Linked DNA regions of Saccharomyces cerevisiae S288C. Changing the gene in region 1 together with any one later gene gives a genetic interaction. Each region holds a gene or a part of one and is shown in the gene's direction. Other genes may lie near its edges.

Region 1 (9,981 bases):
GAAGAAATTGCAGTTTTTTTTTTTTTGTTTCTCTAACCTATAAATAAAATGTTTCAATACACATACTAAACAAAGAAAAAAAAATGTAGAGAATTTTATACGCAAAATATATAGACACTTTCCCCTATTTTTATCAATAAAAAAATGAACACATCAATGCCACTACCATCCATGCTCGAACAACATAGAAATGGATTCACCGTTATGGATTCTTCTAATTGCTTCACCGATTATGCAGGAGACATCAATAACATCCACTCTGTCCTTACCTAGGTACTGTAGTGTTCTATCTTGAGGAACCGTGTTAGAAATGATCAACTTATCTATACTACTTTGGCCGATTCTTTCTAGCGCATCACCGGAAAAAACACCGTGCGTTATTAAGGCATAAACTTTGGTAGATCCTTGATCCTTCAACAATTTCGCAGCTCTTGTAATAGTGTATGAAGTATCCACCAAGTCGTCGACTATAATACACACCTTGTTTCTAACATCGCCAACAAGCATGGTAGTTTGAACGAACTTGGACGAATTAGAAGATTGCGACGAGGTGGAAGATGTTGAAGTTGTTTTCTTCATTTCAAGGGCCGCAACCCCAGTGGCACCTGAAGAAGTAGTATTTTGGGAGGAAACCAAAGTAGTAACTAATGGCCTTGGAGATACTGGTAACGAACCACCAGAGGTTAACGTCGCATCTGGAGGGCCCTTCAATAACTGAGATCTTCTTTCTTTATGAATTAGGGCGAAGGACAATTCCAAGGCGTCTGCAATAGCCGTAGCTCTCTTTGCACCACCAGCATCTGGAGAAACGATCACAGCATCCTGATAATCTGGAATGCGATGCTGGATGTAGTTTTGTGCAATGGGTTTACAGTAGAGATTATCCACTGGAATGTCAAAAAACCCAGGGAACTGTGGATCGTGCAAATCCATTGTGATCACATGGTCAGCACCTGCAGCACTCAACAAATGAGCAATCAAAGTACCGGCTTGTACTACCCATAGCTTATAGCCTGCATTTTGAGCGTTGAACAATTCACCAGCGTCCGTGCTATTGCTTGTATTTTGTAACTTACCACCGGGAATCATAGGAATTCTTGAAAAAGAAAGCGTCTTCTTGATGTCGAAATTGTTATTCGCCGTAGCACTGCTGTTTGGTGTTCTGATAGGTTGAGGATTTTCTAAGTTGATAGTTGATCGTATTGCACTATCCAAACTCTTCAACGAGCTCTCAGCACCTGGTCTTTGCGTCATTAAAGAAGATGACACGGGTGTGCCTGGATGCGATTCAAAAGTATAGTTTTCTTTAGGCTTGGAAATTATGGGAGCACCCTTGGCAGTATATGGAATATCTGGCTGTCTCGAGTAGCAGAGATATGGCATTACGGCTGTAACCCTCGAGGCAGAAGCGGACTTGCAGGCACTGATTAAAATCAGCAACTGCATGAACGTGTCGTTCACCTGGCCACAACCACTCTGGATGATATATACATCCTTTTCACGAACAGATTCGCGAAGAGCAATGTTCGTTTCCCCATTAGAAAACTTCCCTAATTCTACTTTCGATGGGTGAATGTCCAAATTTTCACAGATCTTAGTAACTAACTCGGGGTGCGAGTCCCCTCCAAAAACAACAATATTACTCATTGACATCCAGACTGCGTTCCTAGCCTCGTAGCAACCTCCAACAAAGTCACTTTCGACCAACTTACTCTCATCTCATCCAGCCCTTCTCGCTAATCGTAGCCATTTATTATTTGATAGAAAATTTTTTTCAACTGCGGTCGAAGGGTAACAGCCATATTTTCCTTAATTGATTAGTATAGGAGAACTTGATGATAAAGTGTGGAAACCTTTCATAAACGGTTGGAGAAAAGAATCACATAGAGTTATGGTGAGCAATGATTAGTGGTGTGCTGGTATACTCATCGAGAGGTGAACTTGTCTTGAACAAGTTCTTCAAGAACTCGTTGAAGCGGTCCATATCCGATATCTTCCGAGTACAAGTGATCAATAATCTAGATGTTAGATCGCCTGTTTTGACACTGGGCTCAACTACTTTCCATCACATCAGGTCGAGGCATGGTGACAATTTGTGGTTGGTAACCATTACGAGAAGCAACGCTAATAGTGCGGCGATCTGGGAGTTCTTATATAAGCTTGATGCAGTGATGAATGCTTATCGATTGGATAGAGAGGAGGCCTTGAAAGAGGAATTCATGATTGTGCATGAGATGCTGGATATAATGTTGGGTGGAAATGGGATACCAATTGACACTGAATTGAACTCTGTTATAGCGCAGATGTCTGTGAAACCCGTTAGAAATATGGGCGGATTGTTAGATAGTCCCGATGGAAATGATGTATTATCTTCCTCTTCATCTCCTACTTCTTCAGCAGGAGAACTACATTTTCCCAAATTTTTGACAAAAAGAAGCAGTAGTTTCCTGGGTCAAGGAGACTCCACTTCTGATTTCTATGATAACAATAAGATCACTTGGAGGCCCAAGGGGATAATACACAAGAAGGATGAAGTTTTCTTGTATGTCAATGAGAGGATAAACATTCTGGTATCTAGGGATGGTTCTATCTTGAAATCATACGTTGATGGCACCATAGATATCACCACACACTTGAGTGGGACCCCTATTTGTAGATTTGGATTGAATGATTCTTTGGGAATGCAGTCCGAAGACGAGAAGAAATGGTTAGCACAGCAGCAGCGTCACTCTGGCAGCGATTTTGGAAACAAGAACTTCATTCCCAAAGCTGCTGCCGGTAGTGTTTTGTTGGAAGATTGCAAGTTTCACGAATGTGTCTCACTTGACAAATTTAACAGAAATCATATCATTGAATTCGTCCCACCAGACGGTTCGATGGAGTTGATGAAATATCATGTACGAGATAACATAAACCTGCCGTTCAAGGTTACACCTATTGTTACACATTCTACAAGAGATAACGAGATTGATTACAGGATAACATTGAAGTCTTTATTTCCTGGAAAACTTTCCGCCAAAGATGTGGTACTACATATACCCGTTCCACCAAGCACTGTGGATTGTAAGATAAGTGTCTCTAATGGCCACTGTAAGTTTGTGCCAGAAGAAAATGCAATGATTTGGAGGTTCAACAAGTACAATGGGTTGACGGAAAACACTTTAAGTGCAGTTACTGTGTCCACAAGTGATACTACTCAATTGAATCTTCAACAATGGACAAGACCTCCAATATCCCTGGAATTCGAGGTCATGATGTTCAGTAATTCTGGCTTAGTCGTACGATACTTTACCATTTCTGGAAAAGACAGTAAGCATCGTGCTGTAAAATGGATTAAATATATATCGAAAGCCGGTTCTTACGAGGTGAGGTACTAGCCCGTAATTTTTGTGTACATATATTTTTATCATGCCTGTATTTTTTATAGTAATTTCCTTTAGAATGCACATTTTGTTAATATTGAATATTTTCTATTATGAGAGACATGCAATTTAGTTTTTCATTGAAAAGAAAACAGGGAAAAAACATGGAAAAACCATACAAGACACCAAAAACACCATAGTAATGAAGATCAACAGCGCAATCAAGAGGCACTGGTACTTCTAGGCTTGAAAATTTGGTTTTGAATATAATGCCCCCTCAGATTCCCAATGAAAATGATGATCTCTTTACAAGGTGGCTTAAGTCTCGGGCCATCATACAAAGGGCAGTATCGACAAGAGAGTGCTTTGACTCAGAAGTATTTCTGGCGTCTGGTGGCTGGAATATAACGAATGAGATAATAACGTTAAAGAAATATTATCAACTCAAGTGGCCAAACTCCAGTTGCAATTCGTTTCATCCAAAAACCGTGGAGTTTATTAAAGAACGATTACACAACCTAGAAGAACATGACTCTTCATGGAAAATCCCAAATCCTGCTTACTCATTCAAGAAAGCCTTCTTGGAGGATACTAAATCTGCATTTTCCAACTTAGAACCCGTCTGGGGACCATCAAGGCTTTTGAATCCAGCTGAATTACTATTGCCACAGGACGAAAAACTACTTGTTCAAGAGATACCACTAGAGTTCGCACCTTTTCAATACACAAATAGGTTTGCTTATGGTGGTTTGCAGTTCAAGAACAATTTGTTCGTCACTTATGGGAGTTATTCCTTCCTGGCTGCCGGTCAATGCGTCGAAGTTCATAATTTCGATATACTATTGAACGTTTCGTCATTAGAAATATGTCACGCCTTATTGCCCGTGATAATACCAGATGACGGAGATGTAAGAAACTTCCGCAATTCATCATATGTGAAATTTAAGGATACACAGTTCAACAGCATACCTGAACTATGTTCTATCAACTTTATGAAGATTTGTAACTTCATGCATCAAGATTTTCTACTAGCTTGCGGTGACAACGGAATCGTTTATATCTGGGAAATCAACAAAGTTATTAAGATATTTAATAAATTTACTTCGGATATCTTGGGAGGCAAAGATAACAGCCGGGAAAGATACATAAATGTTGATCCATATATGGTGTTAAGAGTAGAGGAATCTTGTTGGAGTGTTGATGTAATAGATATAAATGGCATCATATATATCGCTGTTGGCCATAACAAGCCTGGAGTTACAGTCTTTGCATTCGATAAAGATGTAAAGAAGGAAAGACGGTACATTCGGCCTCTAGATCTTCCCTCATCTCACAATGTTCCTTGTGTTAACTTTGTTCCTAATTCAAAAGATTCTGTTGGATATATTACATTAAGTTATTGTTCTATATTTGGGAATGTTGTTACCGTTAAATTAAAGGAGCATGATTGTACCATTTTAACGAGTTTCCTTGATACTCAATTTTTTGGCGACGACTTATGGACAATAACTCCACTGACTAAGAAGGATTTTGCGAAAGTTGACAATTTCGAATTGTTGAATCTTAACTACCAAGACGGTTTCAAAGAAAGCATGTTATATTCTATTTGCCGAGATGATTTTTTACTTGGGTATTACTGTGATAACGCCTACCTCTCTGGGAATTTCGGTATTGGTACATTACTCAATCAATTTCAGGTTCCTGTCACAGACCTACGACTGACTTCTTCAGCAGGGATCCCCGATGAAGTTATACCATTAAGATTTACCTCATTTGATAGAAATTACACTACAACGGGCTCGATAAAATACGAGTACAGCAGAGAGGATTTTGCACTTATTTTACATGCCGGTGACTTAGACGATATGAATGATGCAGTGACAAAAAACACCTCATGTGAACAGCATTTACACCAATGGACATTTTGGGAGGATTCTGGTTATAAACATTATCGTGCTACTGAGCGTGGATTTTCGAAATACAAGGATATTATTAATACTTTTCCACAGTTGATAACTCCTAGTGGAAGAAATAAAACATCGCAATATCAAAACACTTCTGGGAGAAAGATCTGTGAGCCGTCTACTTATAAACTTACTGATCTCGAAAATGATATTGAAGATATATCTCGCGAATTTAATAGAAGTATTCGTAATTTGAAAATGGATAAACAAAGACAACTACGAACTTCAAAAGAGTTCAAATCGCTAAGTTCAGTAAATCATATACCAAATATTGAATCGGGAAACTTTTTATGGTACAACACCGATGCCGCTGCCGATTGGAGAACACTTTTTGGCAAGGATTTGAACACGGTCTTGAAGGACCCAGAAATTTGTAGCCTTCAACTGAACTCTACAGAAGAGGACGATGTCAATAGCGACCCTGAAAATGAAGAATCTGGTAGCAGCTTAACAAGTTTCCAGCGAAGATATAGGGATACTGAACAGCGTGCTCACTTGAAATCAGAATCGCAGAAATCTTGGGGGTTCCACAACTATGTAAGAAACGTCAAGCGGTTATTAGAGTCAGCAGTACCGGGCTCAGAAGATTCGCCTCTTGGGTATCAACTATCCGAAATGCACGACGAGTTCTTCTTCCTAACCACAGCCCATAGGCTGGTGTTGATGAAAGCAAATCCACTCATAATTATATCAGCAACTCATCATGAGATTTTTCCCTTAGATGGTGTTGTGACGTGTGCTTCCAAGTCGCTGCTCCAAGCACTAAACAGAATAAATTTTGTGTGTCACATCAAAGAACTAAATTGCATAGCCGTGGCTTCACAATTGGGTCTCATTTCATTACTAAGACTAACAGAGTACAGAGGCATCTATTCGTTTAGACAAGAGTATATTCTTGGATGGGAAGTCCAAGACCCTGTTAACCCTAGTCCAGAGTGCAGATGTAACAGGAACTTGTTTGACGCACCAATGTATGGTGCAGATGGAGAGAGCTCGGACACATACTGCGGCGTGTGCGACGTCTATTTCCCCATGGGTGATATTTGCGGACTAGATTACACTTATGCATCTGACAGTGAAGAGTTAAAACGTAAGGGATATGCTACCTTATACGTAGCATCAAGAGGCTCCTTGAGGGCATTCAAGATCACAACTGAGCATGGAACAACTCAACAATAGCATATTTTGACATTTACATAGCCATCTATATAATAATCCTTCCTTCATTGAAATGCGCGAATGACTCAGACGAGCAATATCACGTGTTGCGATTTTACTTTCAGTTTGCAAAGAAGAAACCATGCCACATATAAAGAACGTTTGCACTTCTCTTTAATTTATTAGTTAGTAAGTAAGAAGTTTAAAGACAACTCAGAAGACATCAGCACTTTACTATGGCATTGGAAAGAGAATTATTGGTTGCAACTCAAGCTGTACGAAAGGCGTCTTTATTGACTAAGAGAATTCAATCTGAAGTGATTTCTCACAAGGACTCCACTACTATTACCAAGAATGATAATTCTCCAGTAACCACAGGTGATTATGCTGCACAAACGATCATCATAAATGCTATCAAGAGCAATTTTCCTGATGATAAGGTAGTTGGTGAAGAATCCTCATCAGGATTGAGCGACGCATTCGTCTCAGGAATTTTAAACGAAATAAAAGCCAATGACGAAGTTTATAACAAGAATTATAAAAAGGATGATTTTCTGTTTACAAACGATCAGTTTCCGCTAAAATCTTTGGAGGACGTCAGGCAAATCATCGATTTCGGCAATTACGAAGGTGGTAGAAAAGGAAGATTTTGGTGTTTGGATCCTATTGACGGAACCAAGGGGTTTTTAAGAGGTGAACAGTTTGCAGTATGTCTGGCCTTAATTGTGGACGGTGTTGTTCAGCTTGGTTGTATTGGATGCCCCAACTTAGTTTTAAGTTCTTATGGGGCCCAAGATTTGAAAGGCCATGAGTCATTTGGTTATATCTTTCGTGCTGTTAGAGGTTTAGGTGCCTTCTATTCTCCATCTTCAGATGCAGAGTCATGGACCAAAATCCACGTTAGACACTTAAAAGACACTAAAGACATGATTACTTTAGAGGGAGTTGAAAAGGGACACTCCTCTCATGATGAACAAACTGCTATCAAAAACAAACTAAATATATCCAAATCTTTGCACTTGGATTCTCAAGCCAAGTACTGTTTGTTAGCATTGGGCTTAGCAGACGTATATTTACGTCTGCCTATCAAACTTTCTTACCAAGAAAAGATCTGGGACCATGCTGCAGGCAACGTTATTGTCCATGAAGCTGGAGGTATCCATACAGATGCCATGGAAGATGTTCCTCTAGACTTCGGTAACGGTAGAACGCTAGCTACGAAGGGAGTTATAGCGTCAAGTGGCCCACGCGAGTTACATGACTTGGTGGTGTCTACATCATGCGATGTCATTCAGTCAAGAAACGCCTAAATAACATATATTTTACTTTATTGATAGACATAAATATATGAGTACATATATATATGTGTGTATGTGTATGTACATACCAGTTAAATGATAACCTTTTTTTATTGTTGTTATAGCGTGAAAAAAGGAAAATACAGTGAAAAGAACAAAACTGAAGAGGTAAGAGTAGGCTAACAAAGAAGAAAAGTGAGACAAGAAAATACAGCAGGATTCTGACCGAATGAACAAAACGAATTGGAAGGTATCTGTAACTACATTCAATTGTGGTAAGGAATTTCCCGTTGAAAATTCGAAAGCAATCGTTAAGCAATTGCTTTTCCCCTACGATGACGGCATCTCCCAATTGGAATTGCAAGATCTATATGTGTTGGGGTTCCAAGAAGTAGTCCCCATATGGCAAGGCTCCTTCCCTGCTGTTAATCGTGATTTAATCGATAGAATTACAACTACTGCGGTTAATTGTCTGAATGAAAAAGTGTCAGCTACACAAGGGGATGAGCAGTATTCATGTTTAGGGGTGAATAGTCTTGGGGCGATTACCATAATAGTATTATACAATAATAATGCGCTAAAGGTAAAAGATGATATTTTGAAACGGAATGGGAAATGCGGTTGGTTTGGTACACACTTGAAAGGTGGAACTTTGATAAGTTTTCAGATGACACGCAATGGCGAGGAGAACTGGGAAAGATTTAGCTATATTTGTGCTCATTTAAATGCAAATGAAGGTGTCAACAATAGAAATCAAAGAATAGATGATTACAAACGAATAATGAGTGAAGTGTGTGATTCTGAGGTTGCAAAAAGCGACCACTTTTTCTTTCTAGGCGATTTGAATTTTAGGGTTACTAGTACTTATGATCCAACTACCAATTATTCGTCCACCACAACGTTAAGGCGTCTATTAGAAAATCATGAAGAACTAAATCTGCTACGTAAAGGAGAGGATGAACCGTTATGCAAAGGTTTTCAGGAGCTGAAGATAACATTTCCACCGACATACAAATTCAAGTTGTTTGAAAAGGAAACATATAATACAAAAAGAATCCCGTCGTGGTGCGATAGGATTCTCTACAAAAGCTATGCAGTGCCAACTTTCGCACAAGAAGGTACTTACCATTCCGTCCCTAGGTCCAATGCTCTATTATTTAGCGATCATCAACCCGTTAATCTTACCGTAAGATTACCAAGGTCTACAGGGACGCCAGTGCCGTTATCCTTACATATCGAAAAGTATCCTTTATCATGGAGCTCTGGCCTGATTGGACAAATTGGTGACGCAGTCATCGGGTACTGCGGTTGGCTAGTTACTAAGAATGTACATTATTGGATATTAGGTTCTTTACTATTATATTTACTATTAAAAATCCTGTAAAGTGATCTGGGCTGTCAGGCTAGAAGTTTTTCATTTATGTCTGAAACAGATAACGTCAGTTGTACCACTATCTTTGGTTTTATTCTTTTTATTTTCTCTTCCATATATCTTTACAGAACTTAAGTAATAATGAAAAAGAATGAAAAAAAAAAAAAAAAAAGAAAAACTAGTCAAAATTATTGCCATGAAAAAACAGGAAGAAGAGAGAGAAGAACATTAAAAAAAAAACTATCAATATTAGATTAACAAACCAATCAAAATGGAGGACTCTAATAATGAAGCCAGCGATGACTTCAACAACTTATTAAACAAAGAAATTGAGTCTGCAAAGGAAGTGAAGTTAAGAAAATTCGCGAACAGGAATAATAATAGGAACGAAAACAGTTCCAAAGTCAAAGATGCGAGTGGATTCAGACTGAGAGTTATTCAAACCGATGGGCACAAAACTAAAAAGACAGACCCTGATTATGAAGTGACAATTGATGGACCCTTAAGGAAGATTGAGCCTTATTTTTTCACTTATAAAACTTTCTGTAAGGAGAGGTGGAGAGATCGTAAGTTGGTGGATGTATTCGTGAGCGAATTCAGGGATCGAGAGCCCAGCTATTATTCCAAAACCATTGCAGAGGGAAAAGTATACTTAAACGATGAACCTGCAAACCTTGATACCATCATTCGTGACGGTGATCTGATCACACATAAAGTACATCGACATGAACCGCCAGTCACATCTAAACCAATAGATATTGTGTTTGAAGACGAAGATATCCTTGTCATTGATAAACCCAGCAGTATTCCAGTGCACCCAACGGGCA
Region 2 (13,019 bases), on another chromosome or scaffold:
GATATTCTACTTGACACTAAACTTTTTTTGTATTTCGTGGAATTGCAACGTTTCTAATTGACCGACAGTGCTGAACTGTGAGCGAATGCAACTATCTCTATAGTTTTTTTATCCTCTGTAAACTTTAACTAAATACATACTACTTTCATAATCTGTGAATAAGATGTGGCTGTGATAACCTAAAATAGTCACAAACCAATGAAAAAAGGCTTCAGAAAACTTGCTGTAAAGTCCCCCCACTTTTTTGTGTTACCGCCACCTCGAGTGCACTTTTTTTAATAAAGATCTCGTGTAATTGTCCAAATCTGACTTTTTCTTATAGTCTCGCTGGAACCACAGTGCGGCTTTGCAATTTTGCAAATCGGAATTTGAGTCACAGATCCCAGAAAAACTCCACACCTTCCCCACGCAGCAAGCGATAACGAACAAGTTGTCAAATTAGACCCATAATAATTTTGAACACTTCTACCTGTTCATGTCTTTTCTCGAACACTGTCATTTGAAATTATGCACTGTGAAAAAAAGAAACAAAGACCAAAAGAATAATATAAATAGTGAAGTAAAATGTGTTGTAATGCACATGGATCTTGTACTGCTCAAACTTAATATTTCTATTGTAGAAAAATTTTCGATTTAAAATTGTGAAACCGATTATATAAAAGTATATTAGCTGACATTAACGTCTCAAAACCAGGTCAATAGCTTTAAAAATAAAAATAAATCCCTGCAGAATACTCGGAAAGAATATGTCACGTAAGAGCTCGACTGAATATGTGCATAATCAGGAGGATGCTGATATCGAAGTATTTGAATCAGAATACCGCACATATAGGGAATCTGAGGCGGCAGAAAACAGAGACGGACTTCACAATGGTGATGAGGAAAATTGGAAGGTTAATAGTAGTAAGCAGAAATTTGGGGTAACGAAAAATGAGCTATCAGATGTCCTGTACGATTCCATTCCAGCGTATGAAGAGAGCACAGTCACTTTGAAGGAGTACTATGATCATTCTATCAAAAACAATCTAACTGCGAAATCGGCAGGAAGTTACCTCGTATCTCTTTTTCCTATTATAAAATGGTTTCCTCATTATAACTTTACGTGGGGCTATGCTGATTTAGTGGCAGGAATTACAGTTGGCTGCGTACTCGTGCCCCAATCTATGTCATACGCACAAATCGCTAGTTTATCTCCTGAATATGGTTTGTATTCCTCCTTTATTGGTGCGTTTATATATTCTTTGTTTGCCACATCGAAAGATGTTTGTATTGGTCCGGTCGCTGTAATGTCACTACAAACTGCCAAAGTCATTGCTGAAGTTCTAAAAAAATATCCCGAAGACCAGACAGAAGTTACAGCTCCTATCATTGCAACTACCCTTTGTTTGCTTTGTGGGATTGTCGCCACTGGGTTGGGTATACTGCGTTTAGGCTTTTTAGTGGAACTTATTTCTCTAAATGCTGTTGCTGGCTTCATGACCGGTTCCGCATTTAACATCATCTGGGGTCAAATTCCGGCTCTCATGGGATACAACTCATTAGTGAATACCAGAGAAGCAACGTATAAGGTTGTAATTAACACTCTGAAACATTTACCAAACACAAAGTTAGACGCCGTTTTTGGCTTGATTCCGTTGGTAATCCTCTATGTATGGAAATGGTGGTGTGGTACATTTGGTATAACTTTGGCAGATAGATATTATCGAAATCAACCAAAGGTAGCAAATAGACTGAAATCCTTCTATTTCTATGCACAAGCTATGAGAAATGCCGTCGTCATAGTAGTTTTTACTGCCATATCGTGGAGCATAACAAGAAACAAATCTTCAAAAGACCGTCCAATCAGTATTCTGGGTACAGTTCCCTCGGGCTTAAATGAGGTGGGAGTTATGAAAATCCCAGACGGTCTGCTATCTAATATGAGTTCAGAAATACCTGCTTCAATTATCGTTCTGGTGTTAGAACACATCGCTATTTCAAAATCCTTTGGTAGAATTAACGACTACAAGGTTGTCCCTGACCAAGAACTTATTGCGATTGGTGTGACAAATTTGATAGGGACATTTTTTCACTCATATCCAGCAACTGGGTCATTTTCCAGATCTGCTTTGAAAGCAAAATGTAACGTGCGCACTCCGTTTTCTGGGGTATTCACTGGCGGTTGCGTTCTATTAGCACTTTATTGTTTAACTGACGCCTTCTTTTTCATTCCTAAAGCGACACTATCGGCGGTTATTATTCATGCTGTTTCTGATTTGCTGACTTCTTACAAAACCACCTGGACCTTCTGGAAGACCAACCCGTTAGATTGTATCTCATTTATCGTTACAGTGTTCATCACAGTATTTTCATCCATTGAAAATGGTATATATTTTGCAATGTGTTGGTCATGTGCAATGTTACTATTGAAACAGGCTTTCCCTGCTGGTAAATTCCTTGGTCGTGTTGAGGTGGCAGAAGTATTGAACCCAACAGTACAAGAGGATATTGATGCTGTGATATCATCTAATGAATTACCTAATGAACTGAATAAACAGGTTAAGTCTACTGTTGAGGTTTTACCAGCCCCAGAGTATAAGTTTAGCGTAAAGTGGGTTCCGTTCGATCATGGATACTCAAGAGAATTGAATATCAATACCACAGTTCGGCCTCCTCCACCAGGTGTCATAGTCTATCGTTTGGGTGATAGCTTTACTTACGTGAACTGCTCAAGGCATTATGACATTATATTTGATCGTATTAAGGAAGAAACAAGGCGAGGCCAACTTATAACCTTAAGGAAAAAGTCAGACCGTCCATGGAATGATCCTGGTGAATGGAAAATGCCAGATTCTTTGAAATCACTATTTAAATTTAAACGTCATTCAGCAACAACGAATAGTGACCTACCGATATCGAATGGAAGCAGTAACGGAGAAACATATGAAAAGCCGCTACTGAAAGTCGTCTGCCTGGATTTTTCCCAAGTTGCTCAAGTGGATTCAACCGCTGTTCAAAGCCTGGTTGATCTGAGAAAAGCTGTGAATAGGTATGCGGATAGACAAGTCGAATTCCATTTTGCCGGAATTATATCTCCATGGATCAAAAGAAGTCTTTTGAGTGTTAAATTCGGAACTACAAATGAGGAATATAGTGACGACTCTATTATCGCTGGCCATTCTAGTTTTCACGTTGCAAAAGTTTTGAAGGATGATGTGGATTATACTGATGAAGACAGCCGTATAAGCACATCTTACAGTAACTATGAAACATTATGTGCTGCAACTGGGACAAATTTACCGTTTTTTCATATCGATATACCCGATTTTTCTAAATGGGACGTTTAGTGTAGTAGATAGTAAGTACTTTAATTACCCCCCCTGTTTTTAGTTATACATGAAAAGATAATTGTGTTATTAATGTAGATTACCATCAAATAGCTGGAATATTTATTATTTTGAGTATGTTGAATGGCGAAAGTAAAAATAAATTTTATAATTTCCTGAAAGCATTAGTACACGAAAAGGGCCGTTTTCAGTAGTTTAAGGCGCTGAAAAGACATGGTCTAGAAGTTAACTTGAGCTTGAGCCTATTTTCTACAAATGTCCTTTGAAAATACAAAAATAAAAATAAAAATGCATTTAAGTATTAAGCTTATGCTAGATAGAGCAACATTTTCCTAATTTTTTTTGAATTTATTTCATGGTTTTTAGGCGGAAAGAGTTTGGACGGCTTGTCTCTCCTAATGTGGAAGAAATTATGTTTTGTTATGAATCTGAAAAGAAAAATACTATTTTAGCAATACAATGAATTTTAAAAAGTTACCCTGTACTTTAATCCTTCAATTAAAACACTTCTTAAAATAGTATATTTTGAAGATCATCGATATATATACAGAGGCAGTTTTGCAAGGCAGATAACGTTATTGAGTTGTATGTAGGCTGTGTGATTTTAATCTCATAAATCAATAATGGAATAATTTTCTTATTGTTAATATCGATTTATATTTTCCAACAATACAATGAAGTAAGTACTATTTCTATTTGGAAGGAATTCATTCCCCATTTTAGCTCCTCGAGCGGATGAATCCATCACTGTTTTGAAGAAAACCAACAAAGTGTCAAATAGTTGTCTTTTTGAAATTGGTTCTGAAGAGTTTTCGGAAAATGATCTGATAACAGGCCTTTCTAAAAATATAAGGTTGAACGAATGTATGGGTTAGGTAATCAAAATTTAGGCGCCAACAAGGAATTTTTCTTTAAAATCGCATGAAAAGCCTACACTTGGCATAAATAAGGTGCAATTATAAATATAAAAGCAAGATATTTTCGAGATGCTTCCAGGATTTATACAATGAAAGAGCCCAAAGCTGCTGATAACGATGAAGCCGGAAAAACTCTTCTCCGGTTTAGGTACCAGCGATGGCGAGTATGGAGTGGTAAATAGCGAGAACATATCAATAGATGCTATGCAAGATAATAGAGGCGAGTGTCATCGTAGATCCATAGAAATGCATGCTAATGACAATCTGGGATTGGTCTCCCAGCGAGACTGTACCAATCGGCCCAAAATTACTCCTCAGGAATGTTTGAGTGAGACTGAGCAGATATGCCATCATGGCGAGAATAGGACTAAGGCTGGGTTAGATGTAGACGATGCTGAAACCGGTGGTGATCACACCAATGAATCCCGTGTAGATGAATGTTGTGCTGAGAAAGTGAACGACACTGAGACTGGCTTGGATGTGGACAGCTGTTGCGGCGATGCTCAAACAGGTGGTGACCACACCAATGAATCCTGTGTTGATGGATGCTGCGTTAGAGATTCTTCAGTGATGGTCGAGGAAGTTACAGGCAGCTGCGAAGCTGTATCTTCTAAAGAACAATTGCTGACCAGCTTTGAAGTTGTTCCAAGCAAATCTGAAGGTCTGCAATCTATTCATGATATTAGAGAGACAACTCGCTGCAATACCAATTCCAACCAACACACAGGGAAGGGTAGGCTTTGCATCGAATCAAGTGACTCTACACTCAAGAAAAGAAGTTGTAAAGTTAGCAGACAGAAAATTGAGGTTTCCAGTAAGCCTGAGTGCTGCAACATTTCATGTGTTGAGCGGATTGCATCTCGTAGCTGTGAAAAGAGGACTTTTAAAGGTAGCACCAATGTTGGAATTTCTGGGAGTAGCTCTACCGACAGTTTAAGCGAGAAGTTCTTCAGCGAACAGTACTCTAGAATGTACAATCGTTACTCCTCAATTTTGAAAAATTTAGGTTGTATCTGTAACTATTTGCGTACTTTGGGAAAAGAATCTTGTTGTCTCCCAAAGGTGCGTTTTTGTAGCGGGGAGGGTGCTTCTAAAAAGACAAAATACTCCTACCGCAACAGTTCTGGATGTTTAACAAAGAAAAAGACCCATGGAGACAAAGAAAGGTTGAGCAATGACAATGGCCATGCTGATTTTGTTTGTTCTAAAAGTTGTTGCACTAAAATGAAGGATTGTGCTGTTACCTCAACTATTTCTGGACACTCTTCGAGTGAAATTTCAAGAATCGTATCAATGGAACCAATTGAAAATCATCTTAATCTTGAGGCAGGATCTACCGGTACCGAGCACATTGTTCTTAGTGTTTCAGGAATGTCCTGTACTGGTTGTGAATCAAAACTTAAGAAATCATTTGGCGCGCTCAAATGTGTTCACGGTTTGAAGACCAGTTTAATATTATCGCAAGCTGAATTTAATCTGGATCTTGCTCAGGGATCTGTCAAGGATGTTATCAAGCACTTGAGCAAAACTACTGAATTCAAGTACGAACAGATTTCAAATCATGGTTCAACTATAGATGTTGTTGTTCCTTATGCAGCAAAAGATTTTATTAATGAGGAATGGCCACAAGGTGTCACAGAGCTGAAAATTGTTGAGAGAAATATCATTCGTATTTACTTTGACCCAAAGGTTATAGGTGCCAGAGATCTTGTCAATGAAGGATGGAGCGTGCCTGTTAGTATTGCTCCATTCAGTTGTCATCCAACCATTGAAGTGGGAAGGAAGCATTTAGTTCGTGTAGGCTGCACGACCGCTTTATCCATAATATTGACGATCCCGATTCTCGTGATGGCTTGGGCTCCACAGCTTCGTGAAAAAATTTCCACTATCTCCGCGTCAATGGTGCTAGCAACTATTATTCAATTTGTTATTGCAGGACCGTTTTACTTAAATGCCTTGAAGAGTTTGATATTTTCCAGGCTCATTGAAATGGATCTACTAATAGTTTTAAGCACTAGCGCTGCCTACATATTTTCGATTGTATCATTTGGATATTTCGTTGTTGGACGCCCGTTATCTACGGAGCAGTTTTTTGAAACCAGCTCTTTGCTTGTAACTCTCATCATGGTTGGTCGCTTTGTGAGTGAACTAGCTAGACATAGGGCTGTAAAGTCAATATCAGTACGTTCCTTACAGGCCTCTTCTGCTATTCTGGTGGATAAAACTGGTAAAGAGACGGAAATTAATATTAGACTTCTCCAATATGGCGATATTTTTAAGGTTTTACCTGATTCAAGAATCCCAACTGATGGAACAGTCATTTCTGGGTCTTCTGAAGTCGACGAAGCGTTAATCACAGGTGAATCTATGCCAGTCCCGAAAAAGTGTCAATCAATTGTTGTTGCAGGATCGGTGAATGGCACTGGTACTTTGTTTGTGAAGCTGAGCAAGCTTCCAGGGAACAATACTATTAGTACCATAGCCACGATGGTTGATGAAGCAAAATTAACTAAGCCAAAGATCCAAAATATCGCTGATAAAATTGCAAGTTATTTCGTGCCAACTATCATTGGAATCACTGTCGTCACCTTTTGCGTTTGGATAGCGGTTGGAATCCGTGTGGAAAAGCAATCCCGCTCCGATGCCGTAATTCAGGCCATTATATATGCCATTACGGTACTTATCGTTTCGTGTCCCTGCGTGATTGGACTTGCCGTTCCTATCGTATTTGTTATTGCAAGTGGCGTCGCTGCGAAAAGAGGGGTAATCTTCAAATCAGCAGAGAGTATAGAAGTTGCTCACAACACTTCGCATGTTGTCTTCGATAAAACGGGTACCCTAACTGAAGGAAAACTTACTGTAGTACATGAAACTGTTAGGGGTGATCGTCATAATTCTCAATCTTTGTTGCTTGGATTAACTGAAGGAATAAAACACCCAGTTTCCATGGCAATAGCATCCTATCTCAAAGAAAAAGGTGTTTCTGCTCAAAATGTTTCTAATACAAAAGCTGTGACTGGTAAGCGGGTAGAAGGAACATCATACTCTGGTTTGAAGTTACAAGGAGGGAACTGTCGTTGGCTTGGTCATAACAATGATCCTGACGTTCGAAAAGCCCTTGAACAAGGATATTCTGTATTCTGTTTTAGTGTTAATGGTTCAGTCACTGCAGTTTATGCATTAGAGGACTCTTTACGGGCAGATGCTGTCTCCACTATTAACTTGTTACGCCAAAGAGGGATTTCACTACACATTTTATCAGGGGATGACGATGGAGCCGTTCGTTCTATGGCAGCCCGTCTTGGAATTGAAAGCTCCAATATTCGTTCTCACGCAACGCCTGCAGAAAAGAGTGAATATATTAAGGATATTGTCGAAGGAAGAAATTGCGATAGTTCTTCGCAGTCAAAAAGACCGGTTGTTGTTTTTTGCGGTGACGGAACAAACGACGCAATTGGTTTGACTCAAGCAACGATTGGAGTTCATATCAATGAGGGAAGTGAGGTTGCCAAGCTAGCTGCTGATGTAGTTATGTTAAAGCCAAAGCTCAACAATATTTTGACTATGATAACTGTAAGTCAAAAGGCCATGTTTAGGGTCAAATTGAATTTCTTATGGAGTTTTACTTACAACTTATTTGCTATCCTTTTGGCGGCTGGTGCCTTTGTTGACTTTCATATTCCACCAGAGTATGCGGGTTTAGGGGAACTAGTTAGTATCCTCCCTGTAATTTTTGTAGCTATACTTCTGCGTTATGCAAAGATTTAGTCCAGGTACTGCTGCTATTTGATTGTAGATTTTCTTTTTTCTTTTCTTTTTTTTTTTTGACGACTCTGTAATACTCTATTTATTATTTAGTTTAGTTTTCTATTTAATATGATGGAATTCATAAAAAAAAAAAATACACATAGCCATGCCAGGTAATTGCAGATCAACTGATAAATTAGAAAAAAATTAATGCATCTTTAAGGTTTTAAATTAGAAATGTTTTAACTTTAAAGTCACTGAGCAATAAAAGTTCTACCTAATGTTGTAAAACTGTATTCATAACCGAAACACATTATGATTATGTCATTTGGTATTCCACACCAAAGCGAGGAGCATTCAAAATGATACCATTTATGATACCGGCAATCAAACCAGCAATTGGTAAAGTTAAAAACCAACCAGAATAACACCAGGCTACCATTCTCCAATTAACTGATTTGAGATCCTTGTTACATAAACCAACAGCGACAATACCACCAACGGCGATCTGGGTTGTTGAGGTAGGAATACCTAATTGGGTAGCCATGACAGTAGTAATAGCAACAGCTAGTTCAATTGAAAAGCCTCTTGATGGCGACTGCAAAATCATCTTATTACCTAGATTTTTGATAATATTGTAACCATAAGTCCAGCAACCAATAACTAAGGCAACACCACCATAAGCCAGAACCCACACGGGAACTTCGGACTTTGCCCCAATAGTGTTAGTTTTCCAGATCACATACACAGCAGACAAAGGACCAGTAGCGTTGGCAACGTCATTAGCTCCATGAGCAAAAGACATAGTGGCTGCAGTAATGGCTTGGAGAACCGAATAGATATATTCTACTCTATTGTCGTAAAATTTAGATCTTTCGTACATTCCTTTCAGGTCACCAGATAACATATCTCTATCATTAACTTGAGCATGAATGACGTCTTGAGTCCAACCATGAGAGATTACTAACCAGAACAATAAGGGCCATTTTTTAGGTCCTTGCTTTAATAATGACCACCAATATTGTTTCGTTGACAACTTTGTTTCTGGTTCAGTTTCAGTTCTAACCAGGTCCACTTCCTGGATGTCTTCTTTGTTTTTGACGGAATCATTAGAATTACTCGCTGCCTTATTTTCTTCGTCTTCAACAGAAACAGTTGTTCCAAGATTTCTTCTGCCCTCGTAATAATCGATTGTTAATTGATGGCCTTCTGGCATTGGTGGGATATCATCAGTGGACTTAAAGTAAAAAGATGGACCTCTGAAAATATCAATCAACTTTAGTGTCCAATCTTGGTCCAAAACTTTTCTTCTGTAGAATGGGTAGAAAAAGATGAAGTAAACGATCGAAGCAATTGCACCTGTGAGAACAATAGATACGGCAGTTTCAGTTTCAGATAAATCGTCCAAGTGTAGGTTTGGAGAACCCTTCCAGACAATCAACATTGTTAAGATAGAGAAAGTGGCGAATACTAAAACACCAACCAGCAGTAAAGCATTCTTAATCGATCTTTCCAAAGACTTAACTTCAAGGACAGAAAACCTAGAAATTGAAAAAACTATAGCTGCGATCGCGCCTGCCAAAATCGGAGCAATGAACCATGACGCAATAATTTGAGAAACACCACTCCAACCCCAAACGACACCGTTAGCTCCACCGGCTGCAATCCCAGCGCCAATTGTACCACCAACAATGGAATGTGTAGTAGAAACTGGCATTCCGATTGCAGTAGCAAATGTTAACCAACAAGACGAGCCAATCAAAGCACTGGTCATAGTAAGCATTAAAACAGCGGGGTCGTTGGTAAAAATGGAGGAATCTATAATGTTGTTCTTGATAGTACCAGAAACTCTTGCGCCTGCCAAGACAGCACCCAAGAACTCACAGAGACCCGCCAAAACCATGGCTTGCCAGTATTTTAGAGATCTAGAAGAGATCGACGACGCGAATGAGTTCGCCACGTCGTTTGCCCCGATGTTAAAGGCATCCAAAAATGCAAATAACATGGCAATGGCAAAAATATAGTCAAATTGATGTAAAGCCATTTTTGCTTAATCTTTGTTTATATTGATTCGATTAGATACGCTCCAGTATTCTCACCTTTGATCTATGTCACTCATTCTATGACAATTCATGTAAAATAACCTCAATGTAAAGATCATCTTCAGCAGGTTTATATATAATTTTCTTCATATCGAAAACCGGGCTTAGTGACATGAATTGTTTGGAGATGTCCACCCAGTAGACATTGTAAAAAAAATCTGCTATTGACTGAGTTAATCTAATGATTTACATAATAGAAGGATCCAAAGTGGCTGTGACATCTAGTATTGATAGATTAGTATTATTACTATTTGTCTCCCACGTGCTGCATTGTCATATGCAATTTATTAAGATTACATAAACTCCTTTGTACGGTATATTCTTAAAGCCTTTCAATGACTCGGGCCAATTTTTAGCAATATTTCGACATTTAAGGGCCCACTAACAAATTAATGGCACAACGTGGGGATGACGAAAAAGCAGAAAAAGAAAAAAAAGGTCTATCGCACAGCCACACACCCTTGTGGTGAAGCCGTTTTGTGATCGGTGTGGCGCGATCTGTGAAATTTAAACTTTTTTGCGGGTGAAACCGAGATTTCTGAAACTAGATTTTCTGGCTTCGCCAAAGAAAGATGCATCGAATTAATGAAATTAAACGGATGTAAGGAATGAAATTATAACGATTCCGCTAATGTTCTTTACTGACGAGTGTCACTGAAGTACTTACTCGTGAACAAAAATTAACCTATATCAGTAATTTTGATATTGTTAAAAGTAGGTATCTCTATCAAAAGAGATTATAAGACCCATCGGCAAAACTCGAAATATCGTCTTGAGAAAATCATTATACAGTACATGGTGCAATTTTAAATGATTTTTAAATACTATTATATAATCGATACATTTAGTACACGCGAAGACAACGTAGTGTTGAGATTCAAAGAGGTTACAGTTGAATACGTGACAAAGCTGACGAGAGTACTGTGAATTCAACAAACCATAAATGGTCACTCCAAGTAACGGTATTGTGATTTCAACAGAAAACACAAGCATTGTGTTAGCGTGCTCGTAAAATATTATTTCAGCGGTGAAGCAGATATGCGTTAAAGGTGGGCTCGCTATTAAATCATGAACGAAAAAACAGTTATGTCGTTACTGGTGTGAGTCGATATTACGAAACCACTGGCAGGTAGATGGATAGAATGGGACTGATTGGAACAGCGCAAGTTTTTTTCCGTGGTCGGAATTCTCGTAGTAATATTGGAAAATAGTTGGAAGAAAAATTGTGTGAAAAAATACATGCTGAAATAGTCAAACGAAGAGAGGTGAAGAATAGATAAAGCTGTTGAGAGGCAAGACAATGTTTTCAAGATGATCAGAAAAGGATACGGTCCAATATCTATTTATATTCATTGCCCTACCGTGGTATGTTAAAAAAATATGTTACATTTATTGCTCCCATTGGATTTTGCACAGGTGTGAAAGAGCTCAGTTGTCAAGATTTAGTCATTAAGAAGGGCCGCAGCAGCTTTTTGTATAATAGAGCGTCTTTTTTGTTTGTGAAAAAAATTTTATGGTGAGATATTGTTCGATTCTACGAAGTCATTTTACTAGTTTATGGACTCTGATATAAGACAGAGTTGACAAGGAAATGGTGCCGTGATTGTTTCCGTGTACAGCTTTTGAGAACTTCCTTGAAAACCAATCATCTAGCACTTTCATTTCTGGGGAAAAACCTGGAACCAAATCTTGAAAAATAAATTCCCCAGAAGTTTTCCTTATTCCGTGTTCTAATCTTCTCGTTCACTTTGCAGTGACATTCCACGGCCATGCGCAATTTACCCCGCCCCCGGATTTTATTGTCCGTACCGCCATTTTTCAATAGATTAAAAAGGAACAAAAAATCATTTCAGAAGGTTTCTTTCTCGGGAAAACACTAGAGTGTAAATATTGAATATCAAACATCGAACGAGAGCATCTTGAAGATATTTATGTTCTAAATATGACTTTAGTCAAGTATGCATGCGACTATTGTCGTGTCCGTCGAGTAAAGTGTGATGGTAAAAAACCATGTAGTCGCTGTATTGAGCACAATTTCGATTGCACATATCAGCAACCATTAAAAAAAAGAGGCTCAAAGCCTATTGGAACTAGAAGCTTAAAGTATATACCAAAGGCCAAAATGTTTATAGATAATAAAAGTTGTACGGCAGCGGCAGAAATATTAATGAAGGTTCCTAAAAAGGTGATTGATCAGTGTTTGAGGCTTTATCACGACAATCTATATGTTATCTGGCCTTTACTCTCTTATGATGACCTTCACAAGCTTTTGGACGAAGAATACAATGACCATTACGTTTATTGGTTTCTCGTAGCTCTTTCAGCAGCCAATCTTAGCGATCTACAAAGCGAATTAGAATCTGAGGGGGGATTTTCGTTTACTGGAAAACAATTAGCCGTTCTCTGTATGTCCTCACGCCAACAATTTGATGACCTTAGCGGCAGAGACATTTTCCGAATTATGACATATTATTGCTTGCTACGTTGTTTTTCACAGTCTTCTGATGTAAGAAATTCATACAGACTTTGTCGTGAAGCTATTGGCCTTGTTATTGTAGCAGGGTTACATCGTGAAAAAGCATACGAATCACTATCATTTCGTGAGCAACAGCTTTTACGCAAGGTGTATTATTTGCTTCTCTTGACGGAAAGATACTATTCCGTATATGTTCATTGTGTTACAAGTTTGGATACCACAATAGCTCCACCTCAGCCAGAGTTCGTAACGGACCCTCGACTTTCTTTGGATAGCTTTTTTGAGATGATTAGAGTATTTACTGTACCAGGTAAATGCTTTTTTGATGCTTTGGCTACGGAGTCTACTAGCGGTTCTTGCACTGAAGACTCACTGAAAAAAATATGGAAAGAGCTTCACACAGCATCCCTTGAAATAGAACCATGGTCTTATGGCTATGTGGACATTTCAT

What was found.
Region 2: mutations in APM4 (region 1) and PCA1 together harm fitness more than expected from each alone (negative genetic interaction), as found in Saccharomyces cerevisiae (2 studies listed by BioGRID).

Annotation. Positions count from the first base shown.
Region 1 is NC_001147.6:203,916-213,896, reverse strand, and holds APM4 (Apm4p), read left to right. Parts: upstream 1-1,901; coding exon 1,902-3,377; downstream 3,378-9,981. Other genes in the region: ribose phosphate diphosphokinase subunit PRS5, read right to left, coding at 163-1,653; CRT10 (Crt10p), read left to right, coding at 3,632-6,505; MET22 (3'(2'),5'-bisphosphate nucleotidase), read left to right, coding at 6,721-7,794; phosphoinositide 5-phosphatase INP54, read left to right, coding at 8,012-9,166; bifunctional DRAP deaminase/tRNA pseudouridine synthase RIB2, read left to right, coding at 9,426-9,981. UniProt on the Saccharomyces cerevisiae protein: Component of the adaptor complexes which link clathrin to receptors in coated vesicles. Clathrin-associated protein complexes are believed to interact with the cytoplasmic tails of membrane proteins, leading to their selection and concentration.
Region 2 is NC_001134.8:788,489-801,507, forward strand, and holds PCA1 (cation-transporting P-type ATPase PCA1), read left to right. Parts: upstream 1-4,360; coding exon 4,361-8,011; downstream 8,012-13,019. Other genes in the region: SUL1 (sulfate permease), read left to right, coding at 747-3,326; PHO89 (Pho89p), read right to left, coding at 8,310-10,034; TYC1 (Tyc1p), read right to left, coding at 11,635-11,754; transcription factor MAL33, read left to right, coding at 12,035-13,019.